Linked DNA regions of Arabidopsis thaliana. The protein of the gene in region 1 interacts with the protein of each later gene in a pairwise test. Each region holds a gene or a part of one and is shown on either strand. Other genes may lie near its edges. The genes, in order: BZIP17 and BZIP60.

Region 1 (5,564 bases):
TTAGTGCATATAATATGATGCTATTGAAAATCCCTAAAGCTTATTACCATTGTTAGTTTGTTACCATTCACACCTTGAGTGTTTGATTGATGGGTTATTTCAACACATTCCACGTTTGCGACCAACGTTTGATCTTATTTCTTTCTATTACCAAAAAAAAAAAAAAAAAAAAAACTCGAATAAGATTAAATTGGAATTACTAGTCGGTTTAGATAAGATCATAAGAGAGAAGTCGAAGTTGTTTTGGAAAAAAAAATTCCGATAGATGTAAGCTTATTTGTGGTTGAACTTATAAAACCATGTATGTAAACGAGCACACATTTAGTCTGTAACCTGTTTATTCTAATTTCTTATAACGGACCACAGTCACATGTTTATCTCTAATTCTACAAAGTTGTCTATTTTCAACGGTGGTCAAAGTATGGATTAGATTTTCATTGCACCCACCACCACCTCTCTTTGCAAGCACCTCCCAAGAAAGGTACGTATATCAGATCAGAGGGTTTACTTTTTCATAATGTTAGTCTTTGATGAGTTTGTGTTCTTTTGTGAAGAATATAATGTAGTCTTTCATTATTTTGGCTTGTGTCTTTCAAAACTCTCGTGAAAAAATGATGCTTTATACCAATATACACCTTCTCATTTCCTAGCGGATTTCATTATTTCATAGTTTTGAACTTTGAACGTGAACGAAAAGCCAATAGTTATATCTATTTAAAATGCATCAATAAACAATACTCTATTTGTGATAGTATGAGGTGAGAGAGAAGAAATGATGAGCGATGCAGAGGGGAGAGGAGACATGCGTGACGGAAAAGAGACTCAAAAACGACACACAGTTGGAAAGTGAGGAGATAATATAGCATTATTTTTAGGGTTTAGATCAGAAGAGAGAAGTTTCGAGAGAAAGAGATTAACGGAGACAAACAAAAACCCTTCCTTCACTCCAACACAATGAAGTCAACGTGCTTTTAACATGTGGATACCGATATCTCCCACGCTCTTCCTCTGCTTCTTGGTTTTACACTCGCCCTTGTCTTTTGCCCTTTGTACCCAAATATATATTCAGCATAATCGTGAAATGACGACTATGTAGAATGATAATGCACCAAAGACTAAGATATTTTAGACGCCCAAGAATTAAATTTGGATACACAAAACTAATCACTTGGTGGTGTCCCGTCTCAAAGCTCGATCCCAAAAAGTCAACAACATGCACCATGACCATGAGTATTCTGTATTCACTACCAAATCGACACTACTATAACTATAACGTCAAACTAATCCATATGCTTTGTTTTACTTTTATAGCCCCCTCGATTACGAAACACGTATAGTTTGGTATCAAGACAATTGTAGAGATTATGTATGGTGAGAAATTCATATCTTTGCAGTCACCTTAAACGCAATCTATTTGAGATTTGTGAAATCAAGAAAGTAATTATATAAAAAAAAAAGATATATAACGAATCGCGAAAAATTATTACTAAGTTTATTTTTTGGGAGATAAATGATATATTCCCCAAGTAATTTACGTAAATTATTTTAAATGAACTATTAAGTCAATTATATATTTAAAAGAAATCTTAAAACTGATATCCTAATTTATGAAAAAAAAATAATAATTTAAATCTGCTTTCCCAAATATTAAATGAACTATTAAGTCAATTCTTTAAAAATAACAGTTTAATATTTTTTTGAAGATCAAAATTACTACTTACTATCTTAAACATATATAATAGTCAATCAAAAACAAATTCAAAATTAAAAAACCCACTAGCACATCATAAAATTTAATTTAGCTACTCTTAGGAAAAGTGTTATTCAAAATAAATTTCCCAATTTATTTTTCTAGATTTGCTGTTTATCATTTATTTTGGAAAGCGATTAATTTTGGATATTATAAGTTTCATGAATCACTAGTGTAAGTTAGCGAGTATGATTCCGGAGCGTAAGACCCACGCGCAGTAGACGAAGACGGAAGCAAGCACCTTCTACTTCCTCTTCCTCTTTGTCTTTAAACCCCTCGTCGTCTTTCTCCCGTGTTCTAACCTCATTCCTCCATAACCCCTTTCTTCCTTTTGAATCTCTCCTTCTTCTTCTTCATCCCCAAATTCGAAACCCTAACCCTAAAACTCAGTTTCAAAATGGCTGAACCAATCACCAAGGAGCAGCCTCCTCCACCTGCTCCGGACCCTAATTCCACCTACCCTCCTCCGTCCGATTTTGATTCCATCTCGATCCCTCCGTTAGATGATCATTTCTCCGATCAGACTCCGATTGGTGAACTAATGTCCGATCTGGGGTTTCCCGATGGTGAATTCGAGCTCACTTTCGACGGTATGGACGATCTTTACTTCCCTGCTGAGAATGAGTCGTTTCTCATCCCTATCAATACGTCCAATCAAGAACAGTTTGGTGATTTCACTCCGGAGTCTGAAAGTTCTGGAATTTCCGGTGATTGTATTGTTCCCAAAGATGCAGATAAGACTATTACAACTTCCGGTTGCATTAACCGGGAATCTCCTAGAGATTCCGATGATCGTTGCTCCGGTGCTGACCATAATTTAGATCTACCGACTCCATTGTCCTCTCAGGGTTCGGGTAATTGCGGTTCTGATGTTTCGGAAGCTACAAATGAATCGTCGCCTAAATCGAGAAACGTTGCGGTCGACCAGAAGGTTAAAGTGGAAGAAGCTGCTACGACGACGACGTCTATTACCAAGAGGAAGAAAGAGATCGATGAGGATTTGACTGACGAGTCTAGGAACAGTAAGTACAGGAGATCGGGAGAGGATGCTGACGCTAGTGCTGTTACCGGTGAAGAAGATGAGAAAAAGAGAGCTAGACTCATGAGAAACCGTGAAAGTGCTCAGCTTTCTAGGCAGAGGAAGAAGCATTACGTCGAGGAGCTTGAAGAAAAGGTTAGGAATATGCATTCTACGATTACGGATTTGAACGGTAAGATATCGTATTTCATGGCTGAGAATGCTACTCTAAGGCAGCAATTGGGTGGCAATGGAATGTGCCCGCCGCATCTTCCACCACCTCCGATGGGAATGTATCCACCTATGGCTCCAATGCCTTATCCATGGATGCCTTGTCCTCCTTATATGGTGAAGCAACAAGGATCTCAAGTGCCTTTGATTCCTATTCCTAGGTTGAAACCACAGAACACCCTTGGAACATCCAAGGCTAAGAAGTCCGAGAGTAAGAAGAGTGAAGCTAAGACCAAGAAGGTGGCTAGTATTAGTTTTCTGGGTCTTCTGTTTTGTCTATTTTTGTTTGGTGCATTAGCTCCAATTGTGAACGTTAATTATGGAGGAATTAGTGGTGCTTTTTATGGGAACTATAGATCTAATTATATTACTGACCAGATTTACAGTCAGCATAGGGATAGAGTTTTGGATACATCTCGTAGTGGTGCTGGTACTGGGGTTTCTAATAGTAATGGGATGCATCGTGGGAGAGATTCTGATCGAGGAGCTAGGAAAAATATATCTGCAACAGAGAGTTCTGTCACTCCTGGAAATGGTAGTGAGCCTCTAGTTGCATCACTCTTTGTTCCGAGGAATGACAAGCTTGTGAAGATAGATGGGAATTTGATTATCAATTCTATATTGGCGAGTGAGAAAGCCGTGGCTTCGAGAAAGGCTTCTGAATCAAAGGAGAGGAAAGCTGACTTGATGATCTCTAAAGATTATACCCCTGCACTGCCTCTACCTGACGTGGGAAGGACAGAGGAATTGGCTAAGCATCTCTATAGATCTAAGGCTGAAAAACAGAAAGCTCTATCCTCTGGCTCTGCTGATACTCTGAAAGACCAAGTCAAAACAAAAGCAGCCAACGGTGAAATGCAGCAATGGTTCCGTGAAGGTGTTGCAGGTAATCATGGGTTTTTGATCTTACTTTCTGTTCCCTTGACTTGGTTATGTAGGCAGGCATTGTAGGTATACTAGTCCTTATCATATCTTGATATTAGACACAAGAACATTTTAATGAGGCTTAACTTACCTTCAGCAAATCTCTGGTCATGAGTAGATGTATTGTATAATCTGGATTAGATACTAAACACTAATAAGGAACATGTGAAATTGTTACTCATATTGTATATTTTTCTTCATCTTTCTCGGCAGAAGCTGTAAGCGCAGTAGTAGCGTTTATATCTTTCTTGTTCACTAAATAATAACACCTTTTTTGTTTGTTAAATGACTATATTGTAGGTCCCATGTTTAGTTCAGGGATGTGCACTGAAGTGTTTCAGTTTGATGTATCCTCAACCTCTGGAGCCATCATTCCTGCAGCTACCAACGTCTCTGCTGAACACGGTAAGAACACCACAGACACACACAAGCAACAGAACAGAAGAATCCTTCGTGGTCTTCCCATTCCACTCCCAGGATCAGATTTTAACCTCACGAAAGAGCACCAAAGAAACAGCAGTAGCAAAGAAATCAAGCCTGCTTCATCAATGGTTGTATCTGTGCTTGTTGATCCCAGAGAAGGAGGTGATGGAGATATAGATGGGATGATTGGGGGACCAAAATCACTGTCTCGAGTTTTTGTAGTCGTGCTTCTGGACAGTGCAAAGTATGTAACATACTCCTGTGTCCTACCTCGATCAGGAGCTCCTCATCTTGTGACCACTTGAAGACATATGAGGATTGAAACATATATCAGCAGGTCTTCTCTCATATAGGCTTTGTATGTAAAAGAATAAATACCTGCTCTCTGGTATCACGTAATATCCTTAGCTAATACCGTTGTCCGGTTTTTGTTTCCAGATGTAGAATCCGAATGCTGTAACTTTTTTTTTTTACCTTTTATAAACTCATAGCCTTAGAAAGTTTTATCAAACCTCTCATATACATTGCAAAAGTCGATGACCAAAAAATGTCATTCTACAATAGAAGCTGAAATCCAAGTAGACAAAAGTGATCAGTTAGTTGATTCCATGGTTTGAGCCAAGGGGGCATCGGTGATAGCAGGAGAATATGAGCACACAAGTGACAGAAGAAGAAGTCTTTACCTGAAGGTCGACGGAGAGAGAATTGGATTAGCATGAACCCTCAGATTCATGAACCTGAGCTCACTTTTAAAATTTCTTTATTTCATTGTCAGAAAAAGAGAGCTAATAATATTATTATTTAAATGTAACAAGTAGGCCTATAACACGTGAACTTCCCTCTTTGCAAAAAAAAAATCATCAAAAACTTTTACCTCTCATTGGTTTCTTCTTTATCACACTGTTACGCTTGGATTCTCATTTCTTCAAGTTCATAACGCTCGGATCAATCAGGAAGACGAACTTGAACTTTCTTTTTTTCATCATTACCCAAAGCTATGAGGCTCACACCACCAATAGCTCCGCCGTCATGAATCCTTCTCTTCCAGGTACTGTGCCGTCTCGGGATAACAAACTTTCTATTTATTCTCTTCTGATCGGATCTATCTATCGATGAAGATTGATTTCACTACTTTAGTAACATTTCATCTGATCGATCTGTGTTGTGTTATCGAGGAATCAATCTCATTTTGTAGATTCAATTTTCTGGATAGATTTT
Region 2 (4,453 bases), on another chromosome or scaffold:
CTTTGTAACTCACAGGGAGGACTTGTAAATTCCTACATAGCTGAGTATCCAAGTGGTGTTCGCTTCAAGGAAGGTACCATCACATCTACTGTCTATTGTACTCATGTCTACATTTCGCGGTTCTCATTTCTACTCTGGCTATTCTCCCTATCTGCAGCGACCAACATCCTGACCCGTTTCGTGGAAACGTTCTACAAGTCTCGCGAGGAGATTGAAAGACAAGCCGAGGCTGAGAAGGAGATACTGGAGAAAAGAAAAATGAACATCAAACAAAATGGGAACCTCTAAAGAACCGTAGCTAGTTTCATCGACAACTTCTATGCTGCTTAGATGGAACTGCAAACTATCTATCATCTCTTCTCTAGTGCTTATGTACTAGAAAATATTTGAACTTTTTTACAATTCGAAGTTTTACCTTATCTTCATTGTTCTAATAAAACTATCTGTTCGTTTTTTTTTACCTGCCTACGCATCCGTACCAAACATTTTACAAACAAAAATCTCTGTGACAATCCCAAAGATTGGCTCGTCTGAACCCTAAATAATATCTGATGACAAAAAAAAAAAAAAAAAAAACTGTGATAATGTCAAATGAAGCAAACATGTAAAAACTAGCATGAGGAAAAGCTTTATCAATGTTAATCAACCTAATGAATTGTTATCTAGTAATTAGAAGTGATATTACCTGAAGTTATGCCTCAAAATCAACATTTTAAAGGCAGAAGCATTATTAGATAGATATCATCCATAACCATAAGACCCACATTCACTGTTAACTTATCGATATTAGACAGAAAACTTTCAACAGCGAAATACAAAACAAGAGAGAGAAAACTAAAAGACACTCATCTACAACTCAAAATGCGCAAAAGAAGCAGTTAAAAAAGGCGTTGTCACGCCGCAAGGGTTAAGATTTGGTATTTCATCCTAGGCCTCGAACCCTTACATCTCCGACTAACGCCGGTATAAGACGGTTTGCTACTACTCCCGAGCCCGTTTAGAACCAGCTTTTCTGGTTCTGGACGTAGGAGGCAACACTTTGTGTGGGACATATAAGGGAATAGGCAAATGAAGTTTACTCCCAGAAGCCAAAGCAGGGAACCCAACAGCAGGGATTCCAACAAGAGCACAGCAGACTCCTGCTTCGACATCATGGTAGTATTATTGCCATTACCCTTTTGCAAACAGTAACGTAGAGACTGGTTTTCAGCAACGAAGCACTCAAGCATACGTCCTAGTCTCAAGCATTCTCTTTCGAGATACTTACTCTTCTTCTCTAAATCTTGTACATATTCCTTCTTCCTCTCTCTCGATCTAACCGCCGCATCTCTATTTCTTACTCTCCTGAACCACAATCACATCCCAATTATCAAACCTCAGTTTCTTTTCATAGCATAAAAGGCTTTAACAATCTTAAGTTAACCAAAATACACATACCTATGTTTGAACATAATCAGCTCATGAATATTAACACAAGATTAACAATAATTAAAGGCAACCAAAATTTAAACAGTCATTTACTTAAATGATTAGTTCTCAATGTTGTTATCAAAACAATAACACACTTATAGCAATCTAAATGAAACAAAAATCAACATCACTCATAATCAATCAACTCTTCAACGTCACACATACATAAACATAATAACATGAACATATCACAAGATACGCAAGCAAAATTTAAACACTCGTTTCTCAAATCTTCACTGTTACACATACGTATCTCCTAGTTCTCAATGTTGTTCTCAAAGCATAACACACTTTTAACAATCTTAATGAAACCAAAATCAACACAAACATACAAAATCCATCCATAAACCCTAACTTTTCAAACAAGAGTAAAATTAGATATACCTTCTTCGTTTTTTAGCCACAGCATCATCGTCTCCTTCTTCGTCATCATCATCATGAATCTCGCTACCAGAATCATTAGACTTCTTCTCAACAACCAAATCCGAATTCTCCTTCCCGGAATCATCAGCGGCGGCGGGAGAATCGACGGTTAGAACTTTATCAGCCGCCAAATCAACGGAGCCAGAATCGCTAGTTGGATAATCAACGAGTAGATCCGCTATGAAATCTGAAACCGATTGCTGATCCAATTCCACAAAACTCTCCTCTTGATGATTCTCATCGTTCATCAATTGATTCTCGATTTCTCCGATCCATGAATCCGGTGAAGACTGAAGAAAATCCTCCGCCGGAAGAGAATCAATTACGATTGAAGGATCGAAATCGAAGAAGAAATCTTCATCTCCGAGTAAATCTATGCTTCCAAATTCCTCCGCCATGGTCAAAAAAAAAAAAATATACAAAGAAGAAAAAAAAAAGCGAATTTAATTTAAGAAATTGGAAGAGAGATGAGTTATATAGGAACTGTGTTTGAGACTTTTCTAAATTTCTTTGCGACCAAGTAAATGTGTAGAAAAAGAGTCAGCATGACACGTGTTGATTATGGACGCGTTTTTTGAATTTTTAGCCAATGATGTGATGGAGTGTACTGTGTTATAGTGTTTCTGTTAGCAGAGGATTATTGTTTTTATGTGCCGTCACACAACCAATGAGAAGGCTTCAAGCTGGAAGAATAGGATCACAGCCGAACACGTGTACTCAGTGAAGTGTTCGTGTGATTAATAACTCGGTTCTAATTCACTTCTTTTCTCTTGGTTTGATTTTCTTATTTTCGGTACAGTTATGTAAACCAGTTAGCTATAGTCAAAACGATGTACATGTAGTTGAGATGGACAATGAGACCAAGGAGAGCAAGGCTTCTTTGACCATTTCTCAGAAATCAATCAAAATTCTTCAGTCCCTTTTTCTCTTTGTCACCGTCAACATCTTCCACGATTGAATCTTTGTTCTCCGAGAGGACTTTTCTTCCTTCGTGACCATCTTCTAGACTTTGAAAGTTATCAATTTGTTAATTAAAATCATATATTATATTGTCAATTTATGTTACATTCTGGATTATCTTCCTTATTCAATTTTAAATGAGTGATTAATCTTCATTCAATCTCACATGAATGAATTTGTAAAATTTTCAGTTCTCTAGCAGATGAGTGAACTAATTATATATGTGAAAGTTGATCTACTATTTTCATATGAATGTCACGTTATTATTTAATTATTTTCTATGTGTTCATTCAATAATTAATGTAAGATTTACATTTATTATTAATTATTTATCTTTAATTGTATCAATTCTAAATTTATTTTTGTTATTATATGTATTTTAAAGAATAAATATATTTTACTATTTTCTTCATACTCATTTAAGGTTTATTTGCTAATGTTTTGTAGTCATAACTTAAAATAGGAATAGATATTACTATAGTGAATTAGCTAATGGTTTGGTAGCTTATTATCATTAATCTCTATCTAAATAATATAATACAGAGGATGAGGAGTATACAGAGATCCATCCTCAAATTCCTGATGTTTATATATTTCCAACATTAACATCTATTAAATTGTTTTACGATGAAAATTATTTCAAGATTGTGTGAATAATTACACTTTTTCAAAAAGTACTTAAAAAGTAGTTTAACATTAAAAGCAGTTGATGATTATATATTTTTCAATAAAATGTTAAATTATATTTTAAAAAAAGTAGATAAAGTGCAATTTCAATTAGAAACGAATAGAAGACAAGTTTTAAACACCAATAGAAATATTAAAAAGCTAGATGATGTTAGTTTTAACTTCTGGACAAAAACCAAATTTGGAGGTCGTATCTCTTGTCCCCAAGAAGTCTGATTGATGAGATTTGATTTTGGACTTGCTTATCAACCGAACTTGTCAATAATAGCATTAGTAATTATAATTTTAGTAACACATTATTTACATTAATTATAATTTTAGGACAATTGTATTAACCTGACTTGTGATCTAATGACGTGGTTCATAAAGTCACTTATCGAAAGTTAATAGTGTATATTTTCTATGATATAGTTCTTTTATAATGCTAATTAAATACCTATGAAGAAATATAAGGATTGCAAATTTTGTAATTAAACTAATAGAGAGGACTCTAACAAAGCTATTTAACTACGTAAAGCATATATTTCCTTTTGTATATTACTTTTTTGTTTGTATGTAAGCGGGAATACTTACCACATGTACTACAATTCCTTGTTCACCAAACTTCAAATAACTTCCCCAACGTCCTAAGTAACATCTTTAAAATTTGAAGAACATGATAGCGAGGGAAACTAAATTCAACGTGAATTTATTTTACTTGGTTTTACTCTACTTTTGTTACTACCAAGGTGAATTTGATTTAAACCTAGTTCAAAGTCACTTTTTTCTAGCCTAGCTCAAATTATATAAATTGTGCAATGTTGTAATTGTCCTAGTCTAATTATCATCACGTTTTTTAAATTTTAGTATTGATTTCACATGTCTTAATTTTAAATTTTATTTGATGATATATTATTTGACATAGTATAAATTT

What was found.
Region 2: the proteins of BZIP17 (region 1) and BZIP60 interact in a two-hybrid assay, tested with the Arabidopsis thaliana proteins (one study listed by BioGRID).

The regions. Positions count from the first base shown.
Region 1 is NC_003071.7:17,086,910-17,092,473, reverse strand, and holds BZIP17 (Basic-leucine zipper (bZIP) transcription factor family protein), read left to right. Parts: upstream 1-1,917; 5' UTR 1,918-2,147; coding exon 2,148-3,885; intron 3,886-4,223; coding exon 4,224-4,651; 3' UTR 4,652-4,909; downstream 4,910-5,564. UniProt on the Arabidopsis thaliana protein: Transcriptional activator involved in salt and osmotic stress responses. Functions as a stress sensor and transducer in a signaling pathway that resembles an ER stress response.
Region 2 is NC_003070.9:16,135,169-16,139,621, forward strand, and holds BZIP60 (basic region/leucine zipper motif 60), read right to left. Parts: upstream 2,296-4,453; 5' UTR 2,292-2,295; coding exon 1,855-2,291; intron 1,345-1,854; coding exon 894-1,344; 3' UTR 555-893; downstream 1-554. Other genes in the region: AT1G42980 (Actin-binding FH2 (formin homology 2) family protein), read left to right, coding at 16-73, 158-288. UniProt on the Arabidopsis thaliana protein: Transcription factor involved in the unfolded protein response (UPR). Acts during endoplasmic reticulum stress (ER) by activating unfolded protein response (UPR) target genes via direct binding to the UPR element (UPRE).